4 linked regions of the Schizosaccharomyces pombe genome follow. The protein of the gene in region 1 binds, or shares a complex with, the protein of each later gene. Each region holds a gene or a part of one and is shown on either strand. Other genes may lie near its edges. The genes, in order: mrpl20, mrpl16, img2 and mrpl40.

Evidence for each region.
Region 2: mrpl20 (region 1) and mrpl16 share a complex: the UniProt entries of both Schizosaccharomyces pombe proteins name them as parts of the mitochondrial large ribosomal subunit.
Region 3: mrpl20 (region 1) and img2 share a complex: the UniProt entries of both Schizosaccharomyces pombe proteins name them as parts of the mitochondrial large ribosomal subunit.
Region 4: mrpl20 (region 1) and mrpl40 share a complex: the UniProt entries of both Schizosaccharomyces pombe proteins name them as parts of the mitochondrial large ribosomal subunit.

The regions. Positions count from the first base shown.
Region 1 is NC_003421.2:816,871-825,539, reverse strand, and holds mrpl20 (mitochondrial 54S ribosomal protein mL58), read right to left. Parts: upstream 4,246-8,669; 5' UTR 3,897-4,245; coding exon 3,303-3,896; 3' UTR 2,063-3,302; downstream 1-2,062. Other genes in the region: duf89 (cobalt/nickel-dependent phosphatase), read right to left, coding at 1-297, 405-435; SPOM_SPCC1393.12 (uncharacterized protein), read right to left, coding at 1,535-1,861; telomere cap complex subunit Ten1, read left to right, coding at 5,383-5,691; Cu(2+) transporter complex subunit Ctr4, read right to left, coding at 6,212-7,081. UniProt on the Schizosaccharomyces pombe protein: Component of the mitochondrial ribosome (mitoribosome), a dedicated translation machinery responsible for the synthesis of mitochondrial genome-encoded proteins, including at least some of the essential transmembrane subunits of the mitochondrial respiratory chain.
Region 2 is NC_003423.3:3,505,879-3,513,906, forward strand, and holds mrpl16 (mitochondrial 54S ribosomal protein uL16m), read right to left. Parts: upstream 3,256-8,028; 5' UTR 3,056-3,255; coding exon 2,408-3,055; 3' UTR 1,645-2,407; downstream 1-1,644. Other genes in the region: lys4 (homocitrate synthase), read right to left, coding at 173-1,429; protein tam12, read right to left, coding at 3,825-4,025; ARS-binding protein Cbp1, read right to left, coding at 4,893-6,461. UniProt on the Schizosaccharomyces pombe protein: Component of the mitochondrial ribosome (mitoribosome), a dedicated translation machinery responsible for the synthesis of mitochondrial genome-encoded proteins, including at least some of the essential transmembrane subunits of the mitochondrial respiratory chain.
Region 3 is NC_003424.3:585,711-593,172, reverse strand, and holds img2 (mitochondrial 54S ribosomal protein mL49), read right to left. Parts: upstream 2,107-7,462; coding exon 1,927-2,106; exon of another isoform or gene 1,756-1,926; coding exon 1,618-1,755; 3' UTR 1,021-1,617; downstream 1-1,020. Other genes in the region: SPOM_SPAC3H8.04 (chromosome segregation protein), read right to left, coding at 1-430; csr102 (sec14 cytosolic factor family phosphatidylinositol transporter), read right to left, coding at 2,914-4,248; pdc202 (pyruvate decarboxylase), read right to left, coding at 5,861-7,462. UniProt on the Schizosaccharomyces pombe protein: Component of the mitochondrial ribosome (mitoribosome), a dedicated translation machinery responsible for the synthesis of mitochondrial genome-encoded proteins, including at least some of the essential transmembrane subunits of the mitochondrial respiratory chain.
Region 4 is NC_003424.3:2,668,002-2,675,438, forward strand, and holds mrpl40 (mitochondrial 54S ribosomal protein uL24m), read left to right. Parts: upstream 1-5,791; 5' UTR 5,792-5,978; coding exon 5,979-6,818; 3' UTR 6,819-6,937; downstream 6,938-7,437. Other genes in the region: mrps12 (mitochondrial 37S ribosomal protein uS12m), read right to left, coding at 333-821; mrpl28 (mitochondrial 54S ribosomal protein mL40), read left to right, coding at 1,812-2,168; Brix domain-containing protein Rpf1, read right to left, coding at 2,528-3,448; SBDS family ribosome maturation protein Sdo1, read right to left, coding at 4,170-4,782, 4,977-5,104; ESCRT III complex subunit Did4, read right to left, coding at 7,098-7,397. UniProt on the Schizosaccharomyces pombe protein: Component of the mitochondrial ribosome (mitoribosome), a dedicated translation machinery responsible for the synthesis of mitochondrial genome-encoded proteins, including at least some of the essential transmembrane subunits of the mitochondrial respiratory chain.

The sequences.
Region 1 (8,669 bases):
CGCCCCAAGTCAATGGACCAACTTGTTCCAACTCCTCATTATAGTCATCAATATCAGGCCCTTGACCGACAAGCGGCTTCAGAGGGCGATTGTGTTGAAGATCATATTTGAGTTGATTAAGAAGGCTGATTATTTCCTTTCCTTGAGTAACATAAGCAGCTTTATCGGACATTCCCGCCTCCAATGCCTTTGATATGTTTCGAGAAACCTCGTCAATCACATTCGTAGCTATAATAGGCCATTTTTTCATGACACATACCGAAGCATACGACTCAGGGTCACTGGTCATCGCATAAGCTGTATAAAGTTAGTTATTTTGCGGTTTTAATCTACCTATACGATGCTCGAGCATCCAACTAAGAATCCTCAAGTTTGTTTATATGTCTAGCTAAACCGTTACATACGTTTAGGAGGATGAAGTAATTTGAGACCCATCTTATTTTCTTCAGGTACCTATTTTCCTGTTGAAGGATAGACACGTTTATGAATACGCCAAAACCAGCTTAGCTGAGTACGCCCAAGTGCGAATAATGGAAGATGGTAGAATGCATACATACGCAGGACTTGTCATGAAGGTGAAAACGGGATAGAGAAGTATAACGAACTGCGCTTTTTTAGAGCTTGATTAGCAGTCAGAAGCATTAGGTACGACGGCTAAGAAATGTCAAAACGACAATTCCATCGTAATATTTGTCAGCAAAAAAAAGTTTATCTTCTATAAACCGGCATAATGCATTTTTTTGCGTTTGACTTTTTAGCTTATTTAGAGAATTCACCTGAGGGGCATTTTCCATACCTCTCGTTGTCTCAAATTAACAAAAAACTATGCATTACAGTATTCTCATCTTTCGCGTAAGCTAAGGTTATATCTAAGCGAACTTGATGAGTTCTATCTCTTCATCTTGAATATTATTAAATATATCAATTTTGACTCTGTCTACTAGAGCAGATTAAAGCAAAACACTCCTTTCAATCTTTTATTTTTTTAATAATGGAAACTAGGAAAAACCTATAATATCCAAACTATGCATGTATTCATATGCATTATCACTACTCTTAGTCCACATCGCTTACTTTAAATATCATTTTACAGTCTATAATGGAAAATCATGCATGTAAAAATTTCAATCATTCATTTATGCGTTCATGAAAAACATTATTTCAATTAAAAATTCGCTTTTATCTGTACAAAAAAAAGCAAACTTCTATGAGGGTGTTTTTGACAACCCATGGAATCGTCGTTTGTTTGTCATCGCTAATCATTTGGGTTCAGTTGGTTTATGAGAGAAGAAACTAATAATAACATAAAAAAGAATAACGTTAACAACGTTTAATCTCTCCGACTTTGCCGAGATGTGATCCGGAATGTTTGGCAATACGTTTGGAACAATTAACAAGAACACTTAATGGATAGCAGGTATAGAACGAGCCAATGCTAGGCACTTTACGTTTTCAAATACACAACAAACCCTGTGTGTATTTTTTCAAAGTATTGCCACATAACCCTAAATGGCGAGAATTGGGGATTTCCAATTTAAAACCATTTTGAGGTACCCTTTTTAAGGGCTTCTGCTTGTTCAGTACCCTTGGCTTGCGCCTCTGACAACACATTTTTTACGTTTTCACGAGGTTTGTCGAGTTCATCGACAACCCTCTCCTTCCCACTTTGGAGATAAGATTTTGCCTTTTCAGTGGTTTCGCCAACAGCTTTGTCAAATCGTTGACCCTCATTTTCCACGGCTCTGACGATTTCTGCATTCTTCTGTTCCAATCTGGAAGATGCCTGACGATTATGGCGAGTCATATAATAACCAACACCAACAGCAGCGGCCAAGGCTCCAAGAGTAACACGCCTATTCATGATGCTCGATTAGGATTTCGTGAATTAACCGAGTAAAAAAAAATTAATAAATCGAAAGGTTATATAAAAGCGGTTTTCTCCGTACAACACAAAGGATTGATATAATATTCAATCGAGCGCACGAAAAAAAATTAGATTTTTCCTGAACACTAGTAAATGTTCAATTGTAAAGTAAAACAATATTTCAAAGTAGTAAGTCGCTTTTGTTCAACTCACAACTTTATCGTTAATAAGAGTGCTCACTTCTACTTCCCACTGCTCTATATATAACACTTTTAGTAGCACAATACGGCAACGTAAATGAGATCATTCATATACGTATTAACCCACCCACCCATCATATAATTCTTGTGTCTGACTGATGTCACCCCAAAACTTCTCGAGGTACTAAGTAACAAGGAGAGAAGAGGAGAGAGGAGTGTAGGATTTGAGAATCGCAGTATGCAGTATTACAACAAAGCTGTGTCCACCATACAAATTAAGCTTGTTAGAGTCTGTAAAAACAATGTCTTAAAGCAAAATTCCTCAACTAGGTCGCATGTTTCTTTAGACGATCGTTGGAAAATTGGGCCAACAAAGAAGAGCACGTATAGTCACACAAGCTTCAAAAAAGTAGAAAACGGCGAAACAAAGCTTTAATATAAGTAAATAGTAGCTAGAGATGGATGTATTAATGAAATCCGTAGAATGCAAATTGTCCTAAGGAGATGGATGGATGATGGCTGGTGAGGAAACTTGCAAAAGTAAGTATCTCGTGAGTGTTTATAAACGGTTGATGTCGATTGGAAATCTTAAATAGCAACTGCTTAAAAGCCGAAAAAATATCTTTATTTTCACCACTTGAGGTTTGAACGAAAGGGCTCTCTGTACAAGAGGAAATAAAGATGTTTTTTTACTGCTCGCTGACCCAATTAATTATGTACACCATTGTATATTCTCAGTAATAGTTAAAAGATAAAACCAAAAAAAAAAAAAAACTGGCTTGAGTGTTACAAAAGCAACATACTCTATGATTGAGGATTTCCGAGCCTACTAAGCTGAAATGAAAAATTTCCTCATTTGTTCCAAAAAGGAAATATGTACATGAGAAGGGAGAGGTAAAAATGTAAAACAAGTTCGTGCCTGTATAATAACATTTTAAAGGTTGCGACAAAAATTCGCGATATGCAGACCAATGTGCGTAAATGTTGATAGAAATGTAAAGGATAATTCGTAAAATGCCAGAGAGCCTTTGTAAATTAAGAAATAAAGAAGAATGAAGATGTCTGTTTTTTTTGAAAAGCTTCAAAACTAATATTATTTTCCAAGGAACTTTCAAATCACTCGAGTATTTTGTAACGTGATTGAAACATTAAATAATGCAGTCAAAAACGCTTCCGCATGTGCATCAGAGCTTTATTGAAAACCAGAGTTTTAGAATCCCAAAAACTATTAAATTATTTTAAACCTGTGCTACTCGTTCCAATGTACGGAATGCTTGACGAGATGCACGTTGTCGGCGAATTTCACGCTTCTTTGATCCCCAGGCAAGTTTTTCAGCCTCAAAATTTTCTTCAACTTTTTGAATCCTTTCTTTGGGAGCTTCACAAACTCGTGAAATTAGTAACCGAGTTGTGTTAAACTTTTTAGACAGTGTTCCAGTTGTCCAAGCATTCGGATCTTTCGTCCTCAAGTCTTGGATGGATTTGATATCTTCACTACTCAGTTGATGAGTAGAAAACCTCAACTTTCCTTTGCTTTTCGATTTTCGGCTAACTGCCGGCGGGAGAAACATTGACTCTTTGGAAAGTGAGGTATCACGCTGATGAATTGGAGGTGCATCATAGCGAAAAACAGGAGGAGTAATCCTAACATCTGGAGAAGACGCTGGTGGATTGTAATAAGCAGATGTAGTTTCAGTTACCTCTGCTATTTTGGAACCCATAGGAATTTTAGGTCGCTTAGGAATACGTTGTTTAGGGTATAGCCGGTTCAAATTCCGAGTCTGAATGAAGCCTACAGGCTTCAAAAATGAAGGTTTGATTGTAAACAACATGTTTTTACTCTTTCAACTATTTTAATTTTGGTGTCGCTTTAGAAATGATGCTTTAAATTTTTTTGAGAAAAGGTTATAACACAAAAAACTGTAAAGGGCCTTTTGGATAAACCCACACTTCAAATAATATTAGTTATAACGAAGATTCTCAAAGCCTAAAAGCTATAGCAACGACGTGACAAAAGAGCTCAATGCAAAAAAAAAATAAACAGCAAAAAAACACGCAAAAAATCACTTGGAAGAGTTCTAACTTTTGAATTTACAAGAATCGTATTAAGGCTTGCAATTTTCCGAGTAAAAACACGAAATTACTCTCCAAATGCGGGTTTCCTGGAGTTTAGCAGTCTCTATATGCACAGTATCCACACTCTTAGTTTCAATACGTATAATGCAGTGTGTTTATGGCACCTTAAATGTATATTATATAATTCGTTATATTAAAACTGGTTTTTGGCACTTTGACGGTTTATTAAGAGAAATCGGAAGATTCAAGCTAAAAAATATTGTTAACGGCATTTTGATTGTAGGATAAATTCAATACAATTTTGTTTTGCTGTTTTTTTTTTAAACCATTTCTAATCTGTTCATGGTTCAATTTAAATACCGATTATATTGAATACTGGAAGCATGATATTTTAAATATTAAATTAAATTTATTTTATTTTTTTCAATTTTCCATAGATTTTTAGGAAATGTACACACCTTTTCAAACTGACCCAAATTTTTTGCAATGTAAATTATAATATCAAATGGTTAAGTAAGGGGTAACCTTTTGTTTACAGTCAGCTTCAATTTATCAAGTGAATATTAGCCGCATTGGCCCTATAACTAAAATCGGAATTTATTACAAGAACTATTGATTTCTTATAAGGCCTTAAACAACTACATCAGAACATGTTTCCAATTCTCTGCTTGATTTTAATCAATATTATAATGGTATAATAAATAATTATCGTTATCGTTAATAGCTACTTATATTATACAAGTTTACAAGATATTTCAAGAAGCTTTGGTGGTTTAGTGGTATAATGAATCGTTGCCATCGATTCGACCCGGGTTCGATTCCCGGCCAAAGCATTTATTTTTCTCTTTTTATATTCCATCTGACTTAATTTATAAAAACTAATCAAAAGAACCATGCTTGCGTTTTTTGTGGAGTTGCTCAAGTAAACCAATTCATAAATAATAATAATGGAAATGTTGGTCTATTTATCAATCTAATATGCCTCACTGATAGTACTATACGATTATTAGATTTTGCTTTTACTATTGCAAACGAGAGTGTAGTCTTTCTGCACATTTTAAGGATTAATGCAAATTTTTCCTTTTGAAAAAGTCAAACTACGTTTTCTTAATTAAAGCTGCGATCTTAAGTCGCTCATTTACGAAATTCATATTTCAATCGATTACCCAGTTTCCAAACACAAACTATACCACCTTCCCTCATCTTTCCTTGTTCTCCTTTTTACAATATATTTAGCAGCTGATGGATAGTGCTAAACTTATCTTCATTAATCAAATTAACGATTGTAAGGACGGCCAAAAACTTCGATTTTTAGGATGCGTGCAATCATATAAGAATGGCATTCTACGGTTGATTGATGGATCAAGCAGCGTGACTTGTGATGTTACAGTAGTTTTACCTGATGTATCTATTCAAAAGCATGAGTGGCTCAACATTGTTGGGAGAAAGCGGCAGGATGGTATTGTGGATGTCTTGTTAATACGATCTGCTGTTGGAATTAATCTTCCGAGATATCGACAAATGGTTTCTGAACGTCAAAAATGTGATTGATGAATATCTTATGTAGTTCTGTTGCACCATGTCATTACAAACTCATTTAAAAATATATAGAAAGTGATCACCTTAAGATACCATAAAGGTACTGAATCGTGTTAATGTCAGTCTTTATAATAATAAATATTTATTAACCTCCAGGTTCAAAGTCGAAAACAAACAATCATGGTTAAAAAAAAAAAGGAACGAATTACATCTGTTCAAATTGCTATATACTCTAATTTGAATGTTTAACTAACAAAGATAAGCGTTACCTTGTGGCATCTATTTATTTTTGTTGAAACTTTTATTACTTTGTAAAAACTTAAGACAAATTACCAGAATTTGTTTTGTCTTTCCAACATGGACATGTAATATGTGGCTTCAACATTCATCAAAGAATCCTCTTCCAAACTATCAGTGACTGTGCGAAAGAAATTAAAGCGAAGACGATTATGATTAATCAGACGCTTCAGCACTGAAAATGAGTGAGGTGCATGAAATTGGGAATACTAAACCAAATTTAGAGATAATCAAGCTATTCGGTTGTAGGTGTTGTGTCTGAATATTGACTGGAATCATGTTCGTGTTTTTCGTCGGCGACTTGAACGATCGTTTTCGTTTGAACAGATGAAGAGGCCTTAGTAGAGATGGTATCCGCACCAAACAGGAAATAGCCAAAGAAGGTGCCACAAAAGAGAAATAAAATTACATAGCCATTATAATACATTGCGAGTAACATTGCGATATACGCGACAATATACTGGACTAGATAAAAGCAGGACCGAAGAAAATGAAGAAAGATTCGAAGGGCCATGCTTGGACCAGAATGAACAGGGGCACCCGAATGACAGCAGGAATTGCTAGCGGGAGAAAATCTACGGACACACCAACGATCGAACTCTCTTTGTCCGCGACGGACCAATTCCAATGCCATCATCATGAAGATAATTCCGAAAATACTACCGACAAACATATGCTTACTGGTGATATGCCAATGTTTGGTAATAAAGCAAGCATCGATAGTATACCAGTTCCAATACATGGATAATTTACAAGAAGAAGCCTTTGCGGTTGTAGTGGTATTAGTCATATTCATGCCAGACATGGATGTTGTGCTGTTGGACATGTTCATTCCAGACATGGATGTTGTACTATTGGTCATGTTCATTCCAGACATGGGTGTCGTACTGTTGGTCATGTTCATTCCAGACATGGATGTATCATTCGACATGTTCATAGCAGCCATAGCGGCTCTAGCAGTCAAAATTTGCAAAGGTGGGAGCAAATTCTCCAATTGAGACAAGCTAGAGTCATCTACAGGGCCTTGGGAATTTTGAGCCATAGATGTTCCTAACTTAATGAGGGAATTACCCAGACTTTGCTTTGCAGCGGAGAAGAAAGACATGACTTCTAGGGAAAAATAAAAAACCAGAAGAGTAGTAAATGAGTTTTAGAAAAAAAGGACGAAAGAGTTAAAAGAAAACTTGAAGATTAGGGAAGACCAGTATCTTACTAACTTTGACAATTATATATTTAGATGAAAAATTTTTGTTCTTAAAAAACAAGAAAACAGAATATATGCAGATGAAAATTAACCCTACGAAACACAATGGAGAAATGAATATCAAAAGGAAGAAAAAGAAAATGAGAGACAAGAAAAGAAAGAAAACACAATTATAAAATGAACGAAATTTCGGCAATCAATGGGCAGAATCTCAACGAATTGAAGAGCAAATTGAATTTATACAGATTTCAAAGAAAATATTCTGTTTCTATATTTTGCTAAAAAAAACCAATTTTTCGACCAATATGAAAAATTACAAGTAAATAAACTGAATTTAAACGATTAAACTAACCAACCCAATGTTCTACCAAAGCCTTTCAGTCAAACAATCGTCTCAAGGTTAAGCGTCCAGGAATGTCTCTATCACACCTTCCTTATATATACCATAACCTACGAAATGAGCGATTATTTCTGTCCCTAAAATCAGCTCTTTTACAGCGCAATAATACCTCGATTGATTTTTTCTTCCAACAAAGTAACATCCAAGTAGCAGATGGAGGTAGAAGAAAAATGCCTCATTTTTTTTCATCAAATGAGTGAATCAGTCGGAATCCAGCATCACAAACAGTGACATTTCCATAATTTTAGCACAAGAAAAACACACACCTAAGATTTAGGTAAGACATCCAACCTTTTTGCATAGAGGAAATGTGACATTTTTTAGCATCAGAACCGTTGAGTGCGCTATCCACTATTAGAAGGTATTGTTTTAACGATACACTATTTACAAAAATAACGGTATGTAAGATACAGCATTTCAGTGCAAGCTCACAATATTGTTAATTTTGAGAAGCAAAAATATGGTCACAGCCAGGTTCGAACTGGCGACATTCGACTTATTAGATCGACATGATAACCGACTACATCATGCGACCACTTTTTGAACAATTGCTTCTTTAATATTTTATATACTCTTTTAGTGAGTAATAGAGATGGAATTTTAAGAAAACAGTATTGATGTTTTTTACAAGAAAGCTTGAGTTTAGAGTGAATGGGTTGGAGTATAAATTTATTAGATTTAACATAGTCTATATCGGATTCTCCCCATTTTGGATTCTCTATTTTTTCAGTTCCCCACAATTGTGAATGCACAGAAATTTTTACCAGTTCTAGTCTCAGGTTTTTTTCTATGCAAACTAATTCACATCATTTTTTCTATTGTATTGAAATGAATTTGATATTTGCAGTGAAAAACAGGTGGCTTGATGACTTTTGATCAGTTAAAACCAACAGGCCGGTGAAAATATGAAAAGACTAGTAAACACATTTGGGAAATACTAGGGCTGTTTTATATATTTATTTTAACCGAAGCTATGCAACAAGAAAATAATTAAACAATTCGTGCTATATTTATTGATTTTCAGAAAGAGAACCTCGAGCTGAAATAAAGGGGAAAAGACCCACAAATCAAAAGATTGGTATTACAATT
Region 2 (8,028 bases), on another chromosome or scaffold:
ATAAAGAGAAAAAAACTTTTTTAATGATCAATATCAAGACACTACGTAAAAGAACCAGCACTTGCAACGAAAAAAAATTTTTTAATAGATATACATGCGAAACATATATACAATGCAAGCCAAGAAGAGAGGAGTTAAATTTTTAAAATTGGGGCTAATAATCACTTCCAATTTAAGCAGACGCTTCTTTGGTGATTCTATCAGCATCACTCAAGTCAGCATGGTATTCACGTAGAACACGATCAACATCATCCATGGCTAAAGTACGGACATCAGCCAATTTCTTGATGCGAACGGTAAGTTCCTTGGCTTGGGCATCAGTAAGATGAAGGTTAAGCTGCTCAGCACGAGATTTGATGGCATTCCAACCAGTCAAACGAGAGCCAACATGAACATAACGACTCATGCCAAAGTCCTCGGGCTTAAGAATTTCATATGTAGAAGGGTTAGCGAGAATAGCTTTAGCATGGATACCAGCCTTATGGGTAAAAGCACACATTCCGGTAATGTAATTGTTGAAAGGAATTTGAACTTCAACGGCATCAGCGACAAGGTTTTCAAGCTCACGTAACTGGTTAAGCTTGTATTTGTGGGTAATGTATTCCCTATCGGTGACATACATACGAGCCAACAAGGCACCAAGAGGAGTAATACCATTACGCTCACCAATACCAAGAATGGAAGTATCGATATGGGTAGCACCAGCTTCCAATGCGCAATAGGCATTAGCAATAGCCATACCAGTGTCATTGTGAAAATGACATTCAATATCACAAGAGACAACACCACGTAAGGTACGAATAAGATCGTAGACTTGGCGAGGAGTAGCGCAACCAACGGTGTCAGCAATACCAACACGGTTGACGCCAATCTTGTCTACAGCCTTGTAGAGAGAAAGGAGATCGACAAGATCAGAACGGAAAGAATCCTCAGATGAAAAGCGGACTTCAATACCCTTGCTCTTGACAAAGTTGATAACTTCGGTAGCGCTGTCAATAATGTAAGTCATGTCCTTTCCATGGGAATATTTGCGAAGATATTGAGAAGTTCCGATAACAACATCAACACCATCAACTCCAGTCTCAACAGCGACACGAGCGTCATCCATATGACAGCGAATATGAGTTAAAATTTTACACTTTAAGCCCAATTTGCAAATAGCTTCGCAATCTTGGCGGGACTGCTCAGAAGCCACGGGAGAAGTCAATTCAATGTAATCGACACCAAAGTTGTCCAATGCCTTAGCAATTTGAATTTTCTTCTCGGTGTCGAAAAAAGCGTTTGCGAATTGCTCACCTTCACGAAGAGTAGACTCAATAATGGAAAAGTTATTGACACGTGAAAGAAAATCAGATGGGTTGGGACCATAAGGGTTTCCATTCATAGGAGGCTTGATGGTCTCAGTACCATTAGCTTCGGACACAGACATGTTGATGACTTTAAAATGCAAAAAAAGGAAAAGGAAAAGCGAATTTTCTAAAATGAATTAAGTATAAATATATAAATTATACAATTCAACAACTTATTGTCCCGAAACCTGTTAGCTTTGAATTTTTTAAGCTAAATCTTTTATCACTGTAGAGGAGACAACTAAGAGCAAGGATGCACGTATGTATGAATTTCAAAAAATTCGACCCTACCCTATTTATTTACTGAAAGAAACAGTCACTACCAACTCGTAGGCAACCGCGGTAATTTATGGTAGAAAATTGATTTACAGATCCCGATCGATCTTGATGAGATTTAATCAGATCTATGGTAGTAATGATTAAGTTACTGATCCACTCAACAGTGGATTGCTAAGCTAGGTTCTAGAAGGTATAGTGATTTTTTTTGTAAACGTTGTAAATATTTTAGTGGAGTTGATTTGAATAATTTCATTCGTAATTCCATAGTAAAATCAGTTTCATATTATTTAAAGTGTACTTTTTGATTCACTTCATGATTTCGCACATATACAACGTGCCGTTTTTTACATCCCGAAAAAAAGTCCCCAACGGAGCAGAGAGCAGCAAATAAGATTTTCGCCAAAAACACTCATTACCGTTACCAACTTTTCAGGACCAAAGAAATTTGATGTTTTAACGAAATTGCCGAGCCGTAATCAAAGTGAATCAAAAGTGGTTCATATTTCGCCAACAAAAATTAAGCAACTCTCTCATTGGGGATGAAAGTTCCCATTTCGAAAATAGATAATGAAACATAGCGCAAAATGTACAATGTTTTAAGGCATTTCTGGCAAATTTCATTCACTAAAACATAGAATAACTACAACGATTGAAAAGAAGCTCATGAATGTCTGTACAAAGATGCAGCATTAAGTTCACAAACTAAGTAAGTGAGAAGTATGACAGAAAAGTAATTATTGAATGGGTTAAAAATAGATAAATTCAGCTTAACTTTTCCCTTAAACAGCTGTAGTAGTACTGGTAATTTCCTGATAGTTCATTTTGCTTGTCTCGGTGGTAATGGGGGTTTCATGAATCAGTGTGGTACCCAATCTTTTGGGGGTTTGCTTGACGATAATCTCATACTTGCCTGGAAGGTGAAAAGCGGCTTGCTTCAATGCATGCTCAGCTAACTCTTTACGCATTCCATCACCACCAATTTCAAAAAGTACACGACCGATTGGTATCCGTGCAGCCCAGTATTCAAAAGCTCCTTTGCCTTTGCCCATACGAGTTTCATTTCCTTTTACGCATACTGGCACATTGCAACAAAAACGTGTGTATACCCGAGCAGCCTTGATAGGTTTTAATATACGCTTGAGAATCTGTTCGGCAGTTTCGAGTTGCTTGGCATGAAATCTTATACTTCGATCTTTTAATCGCATACCATATTCTCCCCATTCAAGTTGAGTACCACGTAGTGAACCTCCTATGGGTATAGGGACTCTTCCTTTCTGAGCTTTTTGGTTTCTGATGCTTCTGGGTGCATACTGGTGTCCCCAACGAACCATCGTTTGGATAGGCGGCATTTGTAAACCATTCAACCTCGTAGGTCCTAAAATACCAGAAAAAAAGAAAGGAAATTTATTGTATTGTTGTAAAGCCATATTATATAAGTTTTTATGTTGTGAGGGTTTCAAAAAGTCATAAAACAACGTGTTTTTATTATCATGCAAAAGTCGTTCTTTAAAGTTACTCAGAAATATTCAAAATAATCAAATTTAAGTATTATATTTCTTTTTTTATGGGAAAATGGTAACAATAGTAACGATAATAGGCCTGCTATTTTTTGTATGAGAAGGGGGTTAAAGGATACTTGGATTCTGTATGTGTTGCTGCCACTTATCCTAACTAAGTTCCGGGAAGAAGCCGGACAATAACTGAACATTAGCTATAATTATTTATTTGTTTGTTTATTAGTTTGTAAAAAAAAAAAAAAAAATTATCTTAAGCATTAGGCAAAAAAGATTATTTTCATAGATACTGAATTTAACGTGCGTTTTATGCTCAACACATTATTTGATTCAGCATCATCATTTCAATGACAACAATGCGTGAATAGAAATAAAACAGTGACTATTTTAGCTATTTCAAATAATATACTTAGCTCATTTCTTGTCAAGGAATTCTTGTCCTTGAAGAATAACAAAACGTTCAACTGTTTAGTGCCTCAGTATTGGTATTTGGAATGTTAAGACTGTCTTAAAAAAATCTTCTGATGTACGTTTATAAACCATTAGAAGGATCCTCTATCGAGCTAAACATTATTGTATGGACAATCGAACGTAAGAATGCCAAGCGCAACTCTTTTGTCCCCTGTAGCAAGAACTTGCTCACATCATGATTATAAAAAAAACAAAAAATGGGATTAGGAAATTATGAAGGATCTGCTAAAATCTTGCGCATTGATCTACGTATCGCGGGAAAAGAAGAATTGTTCTGCAAAGCGTGAATAGCCTGATATTCCCAGTTTTCTAACGTCTTTTGAGCAGCTTCCTTCTTTAATGAATTTGTATATGATTGGGATAAAGACGCTGTTCTCGTAGAAAACGTCGACGAAGAACTAGTTGTTGACATACTTTAATAAATATTCCGAATGGACACAACCTTGAAGACTTGCCAATTCGAATTTCTCTGATTTTACTGATTCTTGCTGTAAAAAGTCTTAAAAAATTCCAATAAGCTATAACACGCTTGATTGTTCAAGCAAAGGATTTGAGTTATTTGTAGAAATAGAAATGTGCTTACTCGCCATAGTTATGAACATCGCCATGTTAGTCTAGGTCTCGAAGAGAAATCGTTATTTCATGTTACGTATAACATCAAAGTTCGTTATTGATTATTTCTTATATCATTACATCATATACCTTTGTAATGCTTAACTGTAAAGTAAGCTTATTTACAGTACGAAGCAGTTAGCAAAAGAGAAGTACATTTTTATAAAATCAATCATGCGTAAATGGATTAAATTCGGGTTTCACAGTAATAATTTATCATTTTTTGAAGCTCTAACCCCTACGGTTCAACTATTTACAATCTAATCTCGACCTTAAAAAAACAAATATGCCTCAATAAAAAAAAAAAATTTCTTACATTTAGCCGGTTTTTATTTTTAAAGATAAATAGTATCAATATTAAAAGCACTTGATTGCGAGACATGAATTACAAAATGTATAATATTCAATTTCATTAGCTCGTATAGCGATTTTGCGTTTAAGAAACTTCGAAAAGGTTTTTTTAAAAAAATTAAAATAAAAACAAAGAAAAATCAAATAAGCTCATCAGTTGCAATCGGGTATTAAAAATAGAGCAACAAGTTAAAATGAAGGAATAAAAGCAAATTACTCATTAGGTAAGGGATCCAAACTCAACAAAAAGAAAATTAAAACTACTAAAATACAAACCAAAAACAAAAAAGTCAAATATGCACAACGAATACAGACATTAGGTGCTTCTCAAACGAGAAAGATTCACGTTACCACCCCTTGCCTCAAGGAGCTTCTGATAATTTAATAGACTAATCGTGATTGCAGGATTTCCATCGGGTTGTTGAGCTTCATAGTTTAGCAAAAGCTCGATCGCCTTCATAGCGTCTTTAGTGGTAATCTGGAATTCAGTAGATTCTTCTTCGTCCGTCTCGAAAGCGCGATCATCCATGTACTGCGAAGCAATTTGATTGATTATATCCTCAGAGGAATCAACAATATTCTCTTCTGAAGGACTTATAAAATCCTCTATACGCATAGCAGCTTGAACAGAAAACTCTGAGACGAGCTCACGAAGTGGATGAATCATTTCATCCAAGGCACGCGAGGTAACGGCAGATTCATTGAATAGACCAAGAACACCGGAAAGATTGAAGGCATTTTCAATAATTTCTGGTGATATGTCTGTCGTCCATGCTTTCACCAACCATAAAATAGCTCTTAAAACATTAGTAGTATTATAGGGATTGCGTCCCAACTCATTTTGTTCCAATATATATTGAACCCAGTGTTTGCGATAGCATGCTTTTAGAGCATAGATCACACCCTCACTACAAGGCTGGGAAATAGAGGCTGAAGTAGATGGTAAAGTAATTACAGTTGTATTTCTGAGGTCATTACCAGAGTTTCGAATGTTTTCAACAGCACGCAAATGTGGAGTATAGCTATCAATAAGAAGTATGACTTTGCGACCTTCCATACACGCATCAAACCAACGTAGCCATTCCTCCATTATAGCTGTGGTCATGGATGCCTTACCATTACTTCTCCATTTGAAATTCATTACTTCGGGTTTTACATTAGCAGCCCGAAACACTCTGGGAGATTGTGAGTATCCAATAACCCATAAAGGCAAACGTTCGGTTCCCGAAGCATTACAACACACGGTTAGTGTAATACGAGCTTTGAATCGAGTAATACCTTTTATATCTTCGACTTCGGGAGTGCCATTTGGAACCAATTTCCAAAAAAGACCGGTCTCTTGCATTGTGAAGATATCATTAATATTCGTTAATCGCGTGACATCGTAAACACGAGAGAGAGGATCATTAGGTGGTTCCGTATTATTCAAAACCACAGACTCGGTGGGTTGTTCATTAATTGCATGAAGTATATGGCGCTTCCTGAAACCTTCCAACCATCCATTGCTAAAGTTCGGAACCGGTTGATCTTGATACTCGGGAATTTTGTGCCAAAGAATAGCGGCGGCTCTCTTAATTGTTTCACCGGAAAGTGTAGCATCGTCACCCTGTTGAACTTGCCATTCAAATAAAGCGGCCTCTAAAAGAGGGTATTTCGGTGGTCTGTTACGTTTCACGTCCCATGGTTTTTCTACAGTATTGTCCAGATACGAGTATTTGGAGGATAAGATCTGAGAGACGGAAGGCTGTGAAATATCTTTGCCAAACTTTTCACGGAACCATTCGATAAGATCTTGTTGACCGGAACGGTTTTGAAGTTGAAAAAAGTAGTGCCTAAGAGCGCGTTTTTCATGTTCTGTAATGGCTCTTCTTTTGATTTTTCCCATTACTCGATAGCTTTATTATTTCTAATGTCTTGAAGTGAAAATATAAGGATAGCAGAGCAAAGGTTTCTTGCCTTAATAAAACGACACTAACAGTCACGAGTTCGTAATATTATACTGAACAGCGTAACGTAATATCTAAGCTTAATATCTGTTAAGCGATGAAACAAACAGCGGTAAACAGTATAGTGAGTTTCATCTTCAAAAATCAACATATGGTCGTACCAGGTTTGGCTTTCCTAATTCATCTGGGCCAATTTTTTGCAGTGGTATAAAAAAATGAATTATTCCTGGTGCTATTTCATGGTTTCCAAATAAAAGTTTTTGGTCGACATAAACTGGATTACCAGTAAGAGTATTGTTAGTTTTGTATTTAGTATATTTGTGAAATTGCGTAAAATTGCTCAATAATAGTGCGATGAAGGAAAAATGGAACAAGGAATTAAAAAAAAAATAATTCCGCTCAGGGGACGAAGGGACTAAATTATGGAAAAAGTAGTAACAATTGATTATTGATGGGGTTACTATAAAATATTAAAAAAAAAGGTCAAACTCTATAAATGATGTATTTAAATTTATTTTTATTCTCTTTTTTTTTTTTTTTTTTTTTAATTTTTATATTCTTCAGTAAAAACTAATAATTTTTGCTAGGATTGCATTCAAGTCAATCTAAAAAAAAGCAATTTGTGTAGCAATTCACATATTTTTTTACAATTGACGGTATCATGAATTTTACTGTAACTTACTAACTGATAAATTTTCTTTATTTCGTGGATATATACTAGTCTACAGAACATGAACATATATGGAAGACAGTAGATGAACGAACATTCTACACTTACAAACGGACAGTTAGTTATCGCCTTGGAAATTCAACTTGCTAATAAAATTATATTAAATGATATGCATATTTAATTCCATTTTCCGAAATCATATTTTCTTCAAAAAATAGCATTCAAACGCCTCAAACTCATTATCACTCCATTCTTAATTGCCAACCTATATTACCAAATGCCGATGGTGCACATTGCCAGATAATCGGTTATTAGATCCGGGTCTAGAGAACGAAACCATTGCAGTTGTTAAAATAGCATATCTTCACAAGCCATTGTAAAATAAAAATATCAAGATATCAGATATTCATTAACGGTGTATCAAGAAATTTGAGCGCAGTTAACTTACAGAACCTCAAGTAGATAGGTATCGGTCGCATACCTTATCTTTCGTCCTAGTTCACTTGCGAATGTTCATACTACATGACGCCAGTCTAATTACTACTTATTCATCCCCGTTTGTAAATAACGACTCGGTAAATGCTACCTCGGTTAATTGGACTTTGTAAATGTTAACAGACTTAGCGCGACAAACCTTTGAGCGGCAGCATGGTATAGCAGAGGATGAAGTGAAAATTGGGTTGTTTTAATCAGAATTCAAAAAGTATGGTTTTCTATGTAGGATCCTGAAGAAAACTGCTTGGACTCCTTAGTGGCAGAGCAGATGACAATGAAAAAGAAAGTCTTTTTTTTTTTTTAATTTTCTTTTCGAATCCTTTCTTTCTCATTTATTTATT
Region 3 (7,462 bases), on another chromosome or scaffold:
CGTATGATCCTATAAAACCACTCCTTTGAAAGCAGTTCTTCAATGAATAGGTATTTATACCTTTGGCGTTAAGAGAATGTTCAGCAGAAGCATCAATTGGTTGTTGTTGAGTTATATAATCACCAGACAATAATTTATTACAACGACATGAACATCTCGTGAACAGATGAGGCCCATTTGAAGGTTTAACAGATTTCTCATTGTTAAAAATTTCGAATTTCAATGGAGAATTACAGAGAAAGTGGTTGTTCGCCTTACTATTACCAGGAAAGTTTGAAAAAAAGTCTTTCATCTGACTTATCGATTTCAAATTCATCCATTCTTGTTCGATTGGAAAACTCCTGCTAGTAGAGAACAAGTTTCGAATATTTTTGTATAGCAATTCATTATTTTCAAGAGACGTTGATGTCGCACAATAACAAGCTGGCATTAATAAAAAAGAAAAAGAAAAGGAATAAAAGGCTTTCGATAATCGAATACAAATGAATGCGGTTTGTTCGCATTCAAGGAAAGTAAGGTATTAATGTCAAGAAAAAACAAAACAAAAAATTCAACACGGAAATAAAGTGCCTTATATCGTGTCAATGCTTAACCACTTTTTGATAAACGAAAAAAAAATAACAAAAAAAACAGAAAATCATTAAATCATGGATAACCGTAAGTATTTTTCGAGAAAGCCTCAGTTCACTAAAGAAAATATAATTCCCAACATTAAGAGTTATTCAGCTTATAATCACCAATAAAAAAGGGATAAACTACAAGGAATTTTCTTCTCGTGAATAATTAATTCATAAGCAAATTGTAAATCAACGTCTTCAGAACAAAGCAAAAATTTTAAAAGCTAAAAATGTTTGTCAAAATATTCCTATCACAGACAAATCCAAGTTCAATTCAAAAATAATGAAAAAGTCGTTGAGATTTCAGGATTATAAGTATGTGTGAAGGGAAAGGTAAAGAACAGTCCATGGGCGTATGACGCAGATATATAGATTATGTTTGAAGGTATGTTTTCGATATAGCATTTAATATTTGTCAATTTACAAACTATACAATATTGAGAAAAGAATTTTTAATTTAGTTATATACCCTAATAGCCTTAAACGTATTCTGTCTATAACTACAGTCAAAAAATAAAAACACCGGAGTTTCGATATATATATTATAATTTCCTTTAAGCGTTTATAAATTCAACAAAACAAACGAATAGGTAGCAAAAAAAAGATTGTATTTAGCATTTGGACGCCTCACATTAAGCAGATGTTTGAATTTCTTTTTACGCAAGTACCTCTTGAATGTTTCTACTGAAGCTCGAATAACTATTTATTTAAAGGTAGTTAAGGAAAACCATCACAAAAGATGCATTTTTTCCATTGTCAAGTTTGAAAACCACGTATGATGAGAAGAAATGAATCGAGATTAATTATTTGCAACAGCTGTGTTTTATTTGACATTATCACCGCTGTAACAAGGAGATGAAGTAAAAGTAATATGCTAAAAAGCCAAATTGATATATATGCTCGAGAGTTTTATGTTGATAAAAAGCAACTTTATCATTCCTTTGAAAGAAGGATACGTACATACATAGTAACAATCTAAAAAAGGAAAAATTCTAGGAACTTAAAAACCTTGGTCTTGTAACCATTCACGAACTGTGACTATGTGATTTCCCTTTAGGACAACTTGATTTGTTAACTTGTTTACATAAACATCTTTCGGTGACATTTTAAGTGTGGAAATGAGCCTGAGCCGCAAAGCCTATTGATAAAATATTGTTAGAAAAAAAAAAGAGAACGAATAAAAGAAGTTAAAATAAACTTGGGTTGGCCGTTAAAGCAAAAAGTTGATAGAACAATTTCCGCAGCATAGTGACTTTACTTGTACTTTCTTTAGCCAAGAGATTACTGCTGACGGAATATGTATACTTACATTAGAATCACCATGGATTTTACGAATTAAAGTCAGAATTTTCGTTCCTCGTTGTTTGTAGTCTAGATAGACTGGGAGATTTTTTGAAGGTGTACGTGAAACATGAAACCGAAGTGATTCGGATGCAATTGTTGAGTTGAACCTCAAATTTGATAGCACTGGCTTTAAGGATGATCGCATTTGGTTCAACAAAACTTTCTACGAGTTGCAGGAATTTATGGTGGATGTGTAAAAGAAGTCGTCGTGCATTCGCGAATAAAGAGGATTTCTATCATAACCTCCAAAAATTTGTAAGTTTTAAACAACTGTCAAACAGGAGCCTAAGATTAAGTGATTCACTAAGAACAATTAAAATAAAATAAAACGCTCTTGTTTTAAATAAATTTAATCGGTGCTTGAACCTCACGCGTGTTTAAACTCGAAAGTATTTTTACGGCACGGAATATACTTCAGCGAAGGTGCATACTCATTAAATTAATACTATATTTTGGAGTAGGCATTTAGGTGTTCAGCTTGTTGTTTTTTTTAATTTCGAACCGCTTTCCTACAATAAAATAAAAAATAATAATAAATAGCAAGAAATCTAAGTTAATTTGCAAATAAAACTGATCATTGATTCTAATAAAGACAAAATGGATGGATAAGTATTGCGACCAACAACTTCAATGAAAAGCCATAAGACCTAAAAAAAGTTATCCCTTTCTAGATGATTTTAAGTGCATTAAAGAGAGTGCTAAAAAATTAAAGCGATAAGGAAATGGTAAAACGAAAAGGGGTGTAAAAATCAACGTAGGAAAGAGATTTCATATGTAACTAATTGATATAAAAGATCTTGAAAGTTATGCATTAATAGATGATACAATCATATTTTGAGCCAGCATCTTATTTAGAATAACACGGGAAAGTACAATTAGTCAGTATACGGGAGTATAGGCAAGGGGAAGGATTACAATGTAAAATAGCAGGAATATTGAAAGTTACGACCGACTAAGTTGCCGAGCTAGTAACTTCTACCATTGATTCTTTGACATCTCCATTTGTAGGTTGAGAAAGAAGCAAAGTATGGGAAGTTTGAGGAGCAATTAGGCCCATGCGGTCGTAAACTGAGCGTGCGCGGATGTATTTATCCAAGTTCCAGTATGCATCAATAAGTTGTGAAGCTAACTTACGACGTTTTTGTTTCACTTCTGCCATGTCACCATTGTTCAAAATCCAATCCATTGTAACTTCCTCGTACTGTTTAGCAATTGCATCCTTTTTTGCTCTAAGACTCTTACGAGCTTCAACATTCTTCAGAGCTTCTGCTTCGTTTTGACAGGGTTCTGGATATGTATATCTCCATGGATTAGGCCCACCGAATTCTTTTAAAATATTGTCAGGATTTATATATTGTTGCAAATCACGATAATTACGAGTGAATTTAACCTTTGAGACAACCACTGGATCAAGCCAAGATTTGATGATGGACCAAACGCCTTGGAAAAGCCAAGGCGCTTTGTGTACAATACATTCACCCAGACATTCGGGATAGTGTGCTTCAAAACACTTGATCATGAATTTCAATGGCCCATAGTCCATATTGGACATACTGAAATCAGTCATATCAAAAACAACAGTAGCAGTTTCAATAGGAGGTTTGAGAATTAAACGAGCAGTTTCCATGACCCAAACTGTGAGTCGCTCAACCGATTCGGGTGAGACATCACCAACTTTATGAAGACGTGCGCGAATATAACAAACTGGACGATTGTGTTTATCTTCACCGAATATAAAACACTTTCCGATTCTTAGTTGACGCACAAAATCATCATCTTTATCAAGGTGGTCAGCGTTACATACAATTTCACCAACATTCATCTCTCTACTTCTCCAGTGAACGGTTTTCATGAACATTTCCAACGCAGCCTCAACGTTCCATTTTCGAGCACGAAGGAAACGAAGTAGAAGGCCATCAGGATCATCACAATTAACAGCATCCCAAAAGCAAACTCTAAGCCCTTCCGGGTCCCATTCACTTGCAATTTTTTCAACTCTTTCCAAATGCACATTTTTGGTTTTATCATTAAAACTGCGAGTGTCCGAGCCATGAGATGAAGACGTTAGTTCAAGTCGTGTACGGGATTTCGCATATGAGACGCTGCTTAAACGATGTGATGAGGAACTACTTGAATCATCAGATAAGTGTGTCTTCACTGTGTACCAAGATTCAGTTCTTTCGAGTAAAGTAATGCCGAAGAGCTTAAACAAATAACTCCACATAGTCTTCAACTTCTCTTCTTCAAGTTCTGTGAGATTCCACGGTCTACCGGCTCCTTCAGGCATATTTAATAAGTAAATTGCGCGCAAACAAATATAATCTAGAAAAAGTCCAAGGAAAAAATATATCAGATGAAATCAATATTAATAAAATTGAACTCAATTGAGAAGGAAATTACGAGAATAAGCCTAAAGAATGGAGGTTAATCTCGAAGATATATAATAATTTGAAAAATTGGCAAAGATAGACAAAAGAATGTGACGAGTCAAAAATACACTAGCCGTCAATTTGCTTCCTTTTGGTCAGAGATGCGAAACAAGCTCACTGAAAAACAAAACGTAATGCTTGTAGTAGAAAACAAAATAATATAGGGAACTTAGTTAACCGAATGAATGAATAAAAAAGAAGAATCACTCGACAAAAACTGAGTTGGTATTTTAAAAAAAAAGATAAAAAATTCCTCAGAGGACTATAAGTGGGCCTGAGAAAAAGCGTGAAATAATAACAAAGGGAGAGGAGCTCAATAATTTCTAATTCACCTTAATGTATATCAAAGTGATATATTAATGAATATGCAACGCACAGAAGGAAATGGATTTTTTTATGAAAGCAAAACGTAATAAAATAAAAAGTCACCTACAACTTTTTAAACGGATTTAGATTAATTACCTATTGGAGGCACAAAACGCGTCACAAAAATTAATGCAAAGACAAAGCCGTTCAAAAAGCAAAGAAAAGAAAACAGAGCTTTGAGAACATTCACGCGTTTAACACTTTTGAGAAATGACGGGGAAATTTTTAGGATGCTAAAAAGCGGAATTTTAAGACTTCCTGGTTTAATTACTTTAGCCAAAGAAGTGATCTAAGCTTTATAATTATTAGTAGTCGGTATTTTAGGAATCACTAGTATGCCGAAATTACGAAACTAACCGATCAACACAGCCTCTTCCTATACTTACACAATTCTTGGAATTAGTAGCAAGAATTAAAAGAAAAAGCCAACGAATATTAACCAAAATATATTTTTTCAAGGTACCAAACGCCACGAAATGCAGCTTACCTTCCTATGCGAAAGAATAGAGCGCTGAAGTATGGTGTGGTGTAGAGTGTCAAAGTCAGAAGCTGCGTTGCAGAACCATTTATAAACAACAACGCAAACCGTTCGTCCGTTGCTGTGATAGAGTGATACATAATATCAGTCAATTGCCTTTACCCGCTACATTACCTAGGAAATCGTAATAAACGAGCGTTATAATTTCATTACGTTACAAAACCACTGTATTAAATAGTAGAATCACCCAATTTTTGTAAAACTAATAAATTCTTAGCATATCACAATGTGAATGGAACGGTAGCTCCTATGTAAGAAATAAGAATGTTAAAGTTGGCTTTTAAGCAGTTTAGCAATTTTTCTGCGAAACTAGTAAGTAGATGCAAGGAAACTGGTTTCCACATTGTTTGGATTAACTCTACCTTTTCATTCATTGCTTCCAAGGTATTGTTTGTTTACGTACACCCTAACTTGACTTGAAAAATTTTAAACTAAAAAGTTGCTTTAAACATAAATTTAATAACTAATCATTATACTAAAAGACTATATGAATTGAATGGGCTTATCATAAAAAACATATAAATCAAAGGAAACTTTGTTTGCCAATTCCACTCTCAATAGCTTGCTCATTGCTTATTGATCTTAGACGTCAACTTGGCTTGCTCAACTAGGACACGAGGTGCATCCAACATAGGCATTACAAGCTCAACTACTTGAATGACATCTGCATTTGCAAACTCCTTGTCGCTAAACAACTTTTCAACGTCAGTAGGAGTTTTAACACAGTAAGTGCGGAAGTGGTTTTCAGCAGCTCCGAAAAACTTGGGAATCTGTTGGTAGCCCCATTTAGTGTTAATTTCGTTATAGCTAGCATGCAAACCATGAATTAAACGCTCAATGGTGTAACCGTCGTTGTTAATTATGAAAATAATTGGTTTGAGGTTATGGCGAATGCAGGTTGAAATCTCTGTAATCGTCAGTTGTAAGGATCCATCACCTACTACAAGAATGGTACGACGATCGGGCTCTTTAGAATCGTGGACGGCCAAAACAGCACCAAACATTGCACCAACGGAGTATCCAATAGATCCCCATAATACCTGGGAAATGGCTGTTACATCCTTTGGAAACCTGCAATCAAGGACACCAAAGTTTGCAGTTCCAGTCTCGGTGATCAAAACATCTCGGGGCTTCAAAAATTCACTAAATTTAGGCCAAAACCAGCAATGAGTAATCTCGTTGGAAGAATATCCTTCCGCATGCTTAGGCTTGATGTTGTAGCCAATGGTAGGAGCAGCCTTGGAATGACACATAGAAGCATCAAGTACTTTCAACAGTTTGCGAAGAATATACTTCATGGCTACATTTGGATAAAGAGCATATCGAATGCGCATGTGGTCTGAATGAAACTCAACGGCATTCTTTTGGCTGAGGTGGTAAGAGAAGGAACCCGTGTTAAAGTCTGATTTGAGAGCACCGATGGATAGCAACAGATCAGTGGATTCAATTCTGTCTTTAACTTCAGGATCTGAAATTGAACCAACATAAACGCCGTCAAAAAATTGCGAAGTTTCGTCAATTGCAGATTTACCCATGGGAGTTACATATGTAGGGAAATGGGTCAATTTAATCAGCTCATGTACTTCTGGAACGACACGATGTCTTACAGCACAAGCGTCAATTAAAATCACTGGTTTCTTTGCATTGACAACCATTTCCGAGATATGATTGATGACTTCTTGCTCAACTGCTGGATCGTTAGTATCCTCCTCGAGCTTTAGTCTTTTCCCAAGATTTGATGAAGATGCTTTGAAGTAGCCAGCATCAGAAGGAATACCAATGTAAACAGGCCTAGCCTTTTTATAACAAATCGACAAGGCTTCATCGATCTTTTCAGCTGCATCGTTTCCGTTATCGATCATTATACTGTAGGCAGAAACTTTCTTAAACATATCCATGAAAGTGCGAAAGTCTCCATCTCCTAAAGTATGATGAAGCAAAGCTCCAGTATCTTGCACCTTTGTGGAAGGCATTCCAACAATATGAACTACTGGGACATGCTCCGCATAAGAACCTGCCACTCCATTAATAGCGGAAAGCTCTCCCACGCCGAACGTTGTAACAATGGCTGAAAGACCATTAACACGAGCATAACCATCAGCGGCATAAGCACCATTCAACTCATTGGTATTGCCAACCCAACGAAATTTCTCATCTCCAACTTTCTC
Region 4 (7,437 bases), on another chromosome or scaffold:
TTTTTTAGATAACTGGAAATTGCCTAATTACACAATCTTTTTTACCTTTTTTTGATGATTGTATGTTTAAAGGGGATGTAGTTCAACTAAAAAATTGCTTATTAAACATGCAAGAGTAAATGATTATTGAATATGTATAGTTGCAACAAGAAGCAAGGTTGCGAGAAATGACAAATGGGTTGACTCAACTTTTTTCTCATTTAAATTTTTGTTTCAGTCATTTTAATAAGGTCCTTGTGAATCGATATCAAAAGAGGAGGTGGAATAATTATAAAGATAACGTTTCTGAATATCATGGTTTTCGAAAAAGAAAGTCTTTGAGGTCATGAAGTTTAGGCTGCTTTCGGTTTTTTTACTCCATACTTGCTTCGGGATGTGACACGTCCCGCTACACCAGCAATGTCATAGACACCCCGAACAACATGATATTGGACTCCTGGACAATCCTGTGCTCTGCCGCCTCTTAACAATACCACAGCATGCTCCTGTGCATTATGACCGATACCTGGAATGTAAGCAGTAACAGAACGGCCGGTTGAAAGGCGTACACGGGCAACCTTTCTTACTGCCGAATTAGGTTTTTTGGGTTTTACTGTAAAGACCCTCGTGCACACACCCCGTCGAAACGGACTTCCCTCTAAAGCAACAGATTGCTTATTTGTTTTTTCAGGACGTTTCTCTTTATTTCTTATCGTTTGATTTAATGTCTTTAACATAACTGAAGAGCTAGAAAACGCTTGAGCCTGAAATGGTGAAATAACTGTTGGCTTCATCAACCTTGAAATTACCGGATATCGAGCATATTGAGCAAAACGGATCATTATTTGGGGAAATTTAATATTTGAGCTGTATAAAATCTCAAAAATCACTATAATAGATGCTTGAGCAAGGAATTCCGAAGTTTGTACCCGAACGTCGCTGGTTTGGTGTTAGTGTATGTATATTGCCTTGGAATAGAATATCTCGCAGCATTCATATTATTCGATGGGATACAAAAATTTATTCTTTTATATTTTGACAAACATTTTTGGGTATAACTAGCGTATTAAATATTTTTTCCTCTAGGAATTGAACTTTAATGGACTAGTCTAAAACAGATGCAGAATGTAGGTATGCTAATCGACAAATTTACAGTACAGTGTTAAGCTGAAAAAATCAACTTAATTCATGACTTCTACTGAAAAACGTACTGGAAGTAGATTGTATTGAGGTTTAAGCTTCGTTTTGCCATGCCATTTTCAGTTGATGATAGTATTTATTACAATAACTTATCCATTCATTAAAACTTTAAACACTGATATGGATTTATCAATGTGTTTGACTACTTACATGAAACTTAGCAGAAAAATTGAGCATCAGGCCTACTCCATATAAAGCTTTGACTTAAAACTTAATATTTTCTACTTGTTAAATGTCTTCGTTTGGTTACATATCTCCATAAATGCATATGCTTTGTTTGGCTTAGCTACTGAAAATTCAGAAACAATTAAATGAACTCCGAATTATAATCTATATTTTTTTTATCAGTGTGTGAAATTGAAGGGGATTTGATGAAACACTTCTTTTTTTGAAATATCGTACTGGTGGCTTTTCCTAGTGTATCACGACTTACTCTCTTAATTAGCTTCATACCACTGAACACGTTTACTACTACCGCATTTTTCTCTACTCAGGTTTTTTAGCTTTTAAAGGAAGGTTTTATGTTAATACTTTTGAAAATTAAATTTTTTTCTATCAACGTGAAAAAATTCAAGGAGTACTTTAGTTTGTGTTGAAAAGTTTTTTGGCAGATGCGTTCTACGTTACAATTAATGGCTAAGGCCTCAAAGGGAAAGCACCAATCTGGTCCTTCTAATCATAGTGAGTCAATCGATTTGGTTAGAAAAGCTCTTTACGGAAATAAAAAAGTCAGGTCTTTGAAAATGAATCCAGACATGTGGGAAAAACACGAAGTTATTAATCGCGCTTGGCGTATACACGAATATCGACAAGAAAAACAAAGAGAGAATCTTCTAAAAAACCAATTCTCTGCAATGAAAATTGCTTGCGAGGAACTGAAGCATACGAGTGAAACATTATATAAAGCCGCAATGAGCGATTCAATTAACAGGAGGTTCCCCGTAGAAACGAGGACTCCTACGGACACACCACCACGGCTTTCTAAATAGGCGAGCGCCTTTTATGAGTATAATTAATATCTTCGGTAGTGCTCGAAAGTGTTATAGACAAGTTCAAGTATATAAAAAAATGTATCACTAATTACGAGCAAGTATAATCTAATTAGGATTTTTAAATAAACCAATAATTGAATTAAAGAATTATGTCTCCTAGTTTCTAGTCTACATGTATCATATTATTCATTCCCAATTTCACCGTAAACGAATGATACAAAATGAAAGGCCATGCTTTCTTTTTTAACCAAAAATTTAGAATTGTTACCAAACCCAAACCCTACCTCGAAAACAATAAAATATGACCCAAACACTGTTTTCTTTTTACAACGTGTCGCAGATGAGACAAAATGTCTTTAAAGCCAGAATTTACGTCTATCTGATTCTTCACCGGCATTGCTCTCGAAGAAAACCTCCCCTTCTTTCCTATCCCATACTCCTTTTTGAACCATACGAAGACGCATGGTAAATCGAGGACCTAATTCTTGTAGCCCAGTTCCAATACCATCTGGCATATTCGATTTTTCACGAAATGCATAACGGTGTCTTCGAAAAAAAAGAAAATCTCTTTGACAATGGATGGTAACAACTTGTCGCCCTTGAATTTGAGGCGTTTGAATAAATAATGATTGAAAGGCTCGAGCAACAGTCATACCAAGTCTCGTTGAGAAATTGTTGATTATCAGTTCTGGAATATGACCAGTGGAGCGGCCATGATTTGAAATTTCCTTTGCTGTTTGGAGATTCGATAAGGTAAAATAGAACGAAGGGCCATTCGGTAAGTGTACAAGGGTTAATGCATTTGTTTTTTTACGATCCTCATTTAATACCAGTAAATCGGTGTAACCACGCTTAGCAGCGGCTTCTGCGATTTCATGAACTTCAATATCTCCGGTTCTTTTTCGAAATTCAGCATTAGGAAAACAATCTAAAAGCTCAGATGCAAAATCATAGCATTTTCTAGAGGCTCGTTTACTCGTGGTTACCAAAAGTTTCGGAACTTTCCTTTCTTCACTAAAGTATGCAGAAAACTCATCATCTTTTAACTCCGCCTGAAGTTCCTCATCGGGTTTATCCTCTATGATAGTTTCATCATAAACTCGTTTCGATTCAATAGTAGCGGGAATATTTTCTGAAAGTCGCAATCTCTTCTTTTCCGGGTCTTTTTCTTCTTCTTTAGCACGTTCTTTTCTTCTTTCAAGCTTGTCCTTATTTTTTTGATGAAGAGCCTTCATATACTGCTGTTGGCGGACAATTTTGTTTTTAATCTTCCCCATTTTAATAAGTTGCGTATAATCTCTCAAAATTTAAAATTTAAGAATGAAATAATTTAAATCCTTACAAAAAATTGCAACTAAAAAAAATTGAGATAAGAATGAGCAACTTAAGTACAAATAAAAGAGAGTTAAAAAAAAGTATACGATGGGTTTGAAGTCTCAAAAACTTATTGCACAATCCAATTCCATGTCGCAAAATACCGAATCTGAAGAACATGCTACGAATTTCGTCAAATTTGCTTAAAAGTATTAACGCAGTATTATATCACACTGCTGTTAAGCAAAATGTATACTTTAGTTACAATTACTGTTTGTAAATAGGTGATATTACAATCCGAAATCGTACACTATAGATATCCTCATCATTAAATTGTTGAACAACTGAAAGCATTGTGGTAAGGGTTCAACATTCTACAAATCACTCACGCTACTTTCATTTTCACATTTGAATGCGTGCTTTGAATGGAACTAGCAGAAATGAAAGGGACGATAGTCTTTTAATTTCATTTCTTTACTTTCTTTTTACTTTCTTCTGAACTGAATTGCTATATTGATAAATTAAATAATGTTCTGGATAACCAGAACGAATCAGAACGTGTCTTTTAATAGCAAAATTTTTCAAAACCAAAAGCCAATGAACAATGTAAGCAAAAAGGAGGAGGAAAACAGATTAGGGAATTCATATAGAGCGTATTTTCAGAAAGGTTATTTGTATACCTTTTTAAGTCCTAGCCTCGCTCATGTCGAGTACTTGAACCATACCTCGGTTTTTGGTCTCATTTCGGACAAGTTCATCTATCAACTTATAATTCCCTGGAATCACGAGAGCTATGCACTCATATTCATCATCAATGTTTTCTTCTTCAATTTCATCAGCTAAAGAGCGTAAACGCTCTCGTAAAGCTTTTCCCTGTTTGACATCCACCACTATTCTGATGCGCATACGCGCACGGACGATAGGAATTTCGTTTTTTTCTTGCAATTTCTTAATAGCTTCCAGAGCTTGGGACTTTGCAGTTTTACTGGTAGAGACAGAAAAGCCACAATCAGATAATGCTTTTTCAATTATAGATGCTGGATAAGGTCGTTTAGAATTAGGATCCATGCACATCGCAGTAACATGGGAGACAATATCGCGATAAGTTGAAGACATTTGATGATGTCTTTCCTTTTCACCTACTTGAAAATCTCCTTTTTGCAAAATTTCTAAAATAATTTTATCTATATCATCTGTACCAAAAGCCTTTTTCAAATCCTGTCGGCTAGCTACATGTCCTTTAGAAACATTGTTAAACACATTGTGGATTTGTAAAACTTCATCCAGATCTGTTTCACTAAACTTGGTTAGCTATGGTTTTGATCAAAAAAAATTGTACGAGTTATTGAGTTGTTGACACCAGTCGACAAGACACGTGAATTCAAAAAGATAGCTTGTTATAATTTTCTGCTGATCTTAAAGAATATTTATCTGTAGCAAAGGCTGACTCTCACTAATTACAGTAGCTTAATTTAATGAAATCATGCATACATTTTGTTTCTCCATTCTGTAACTTTATTTTTATAACAAGCAACTTCAAATCTTTTCCCTCCTTTCTTATATTTTACAACGGACACATTGGTTAGACGAATTTGTCCAACAGGTTGACTAATAACCATTTTGCTCAAGATGGGTACTTTTTTGGATTATTTTTTGTTATTCTCACCTTCTCTAATTATAGTGTTTTAATCCAACGCCTAAATCTGTTAAACAGGTTAACAATCCATACACTATATATCGGTATTTAGATTTATCTGAAAATTAAACAAAAATTTGATATTTGCGAGCCTGAAAGGCAAAAGGATGGTTCCAATCATTTTTCGGATGTTAACATAATCTTGGAAAACCTTATGGTTAAATATTTAATATAAGTGCAAGTTATTTGTCGGGTTTTCTAAACCAGTTTACAAATCACGAATGATATTAGGCTTTTAAAAATTATTACCTAAATTCAGCAAATACTAAAAAAAAAGTAGAAAACAATAGAAGTATCGACTAAGTTTGAGTTATCCGACAAAACTTCAATCTTACATCCTAGTATATTAACACAACCACTTGCGAAGCGTTTCTATACGATTTCGCTTAACATTTTCAATTTTAAACTTATAAACAAATAGATAGAATGACATTGTCTTAACGAGTACACATCATTTTAATGTTGGTTAACGATGTCGAAGCTGTAGAATATTGCGTGCAAAAGCAAAAGCAAATTTTAAATAATGAAACTTAACCACGTATCGCAAAGTTGCCTTTGTGTAACAATGATCCATTTCTTTACTTATTGACGAAGAGAGTACTCAAATAACAACTGCAAACTACCAGCAGGATACACATTACTGTTTCATAGCATTCTTATTTTTTCTCTTATATTTGGCCATATTTATCCTGTCTAGAGGTTTTACTTTCGTTCCAACATTACAGCGTAGTAAATTCCTCTGTACAAGTGATGTACCACCGTTAGTTATTTAAATATTATAAAACTTTTTGAGCAGAATGAGAGACTTGCGTAAATTAATTCCAAGGCTCCGAGGCCCTGGTACTAACGTCTTAAAAATGAAAAAGCCTTTACCGTTGCATATGCGAACCAAAATACGCGAACACCTCAATAAATCTGATCCAACTGTTAAAGACGATAAATCCGCTAAACCCGAGTTACCGTTTGGAAAGCCAGCTGACAGAGTCCCTTTCTGGCATATTTTTAAAGGGGATTATGTATATGTTCATCAAGGACCTCTGAAAGGAAAATGGGGCCGTGTTGTTGAGACAAACAAATACACAAACGGTATTACCATAGAGGGGGTTAATGTGAGATCCGTCAAAGTACCAATTTTTCTTTTGCGAAATAAGCCTGAAGATAACCAAGATCCAGTAATTGATATTGCTCACGAAGTACATTATGCAAATGTGCGTCTTCTTGCGCATGCAAAGACTGACGCCGGGGAACCAGTTCTTATTCCAGTTAAGCTTAAAAAGCATTCCTCAACTAATCTCCGGTCCATTATTCGGCCTAATATTGAAGGAGTACAAATTCATACTATTCATCTTCCTCGTCCCAAGACTGAAGATAAGCCTAAAGATCCCGAAGGTAAACTCGATACTAAGAATCCAGTAGTTAGTAAAGTTACTTGGTCTCCTAGCTTATCGGAGCCTCCTCTTCCTCCGTTTGCAATTGGCGATTTACGAGCCAATTGGTCTCGCCGTTTAGATCGTATATGGGGATATAAAAAGAACAATGATGATTTTACTGAAATTGCTAAAGATCTTGTCCGAGCAGAGACTGCTGCTGAAGATTTAATAAAAAAACCCATCTCTCCTAATACTTACAGTGATTAAAACAAAAACGATGTTTGGTCGTTGCAAGCATTTTTTTATAACATTACATAATGATTCACAATCTCTAGGTTATAAAGCTTAATAAACTTTTGTAAACTCTTCTAAAAAATTTTTCAAGAAACTTAAATATATTTAACTTAGTAGAGTAAGTGATAAGTGATTTCAATGAAAGTGAAGTATTTGAAGTTTACACGTTAACCTAGAAAAACTTTTACTAATCAATGTAGAAAATCTATACAAATCAAGATCTTTAAAGTCCATTAATCTCTTGTGCGAAAATTAACGCTTTGCCAGTTCATCCAATCTGGCTTGTAAATTGTCTTCAGTCTTTAACTCCGGTACCGTACCAATTTGGGTCGCAGCATCTGGCAATCCTTGAGACAAATCGACTCCAATTTCATCCAACACTTTATTGACAAGTTCATCAGCTTCCTCTTCGTCATCTTCTTCTAAAGCATCGTCCATATTTTCATCAATCATTTCTTGTCTCTGTTCCATAATTTCATTTTCACGCTCGAATTGCTGAGTGATACGAGCCATTGCCGGTATATTCATGCTTTTGTTCATCCCTGTCAATAACTTTGTAAAAGTTAGTTCTATATTTTTCGATATTAAGGTG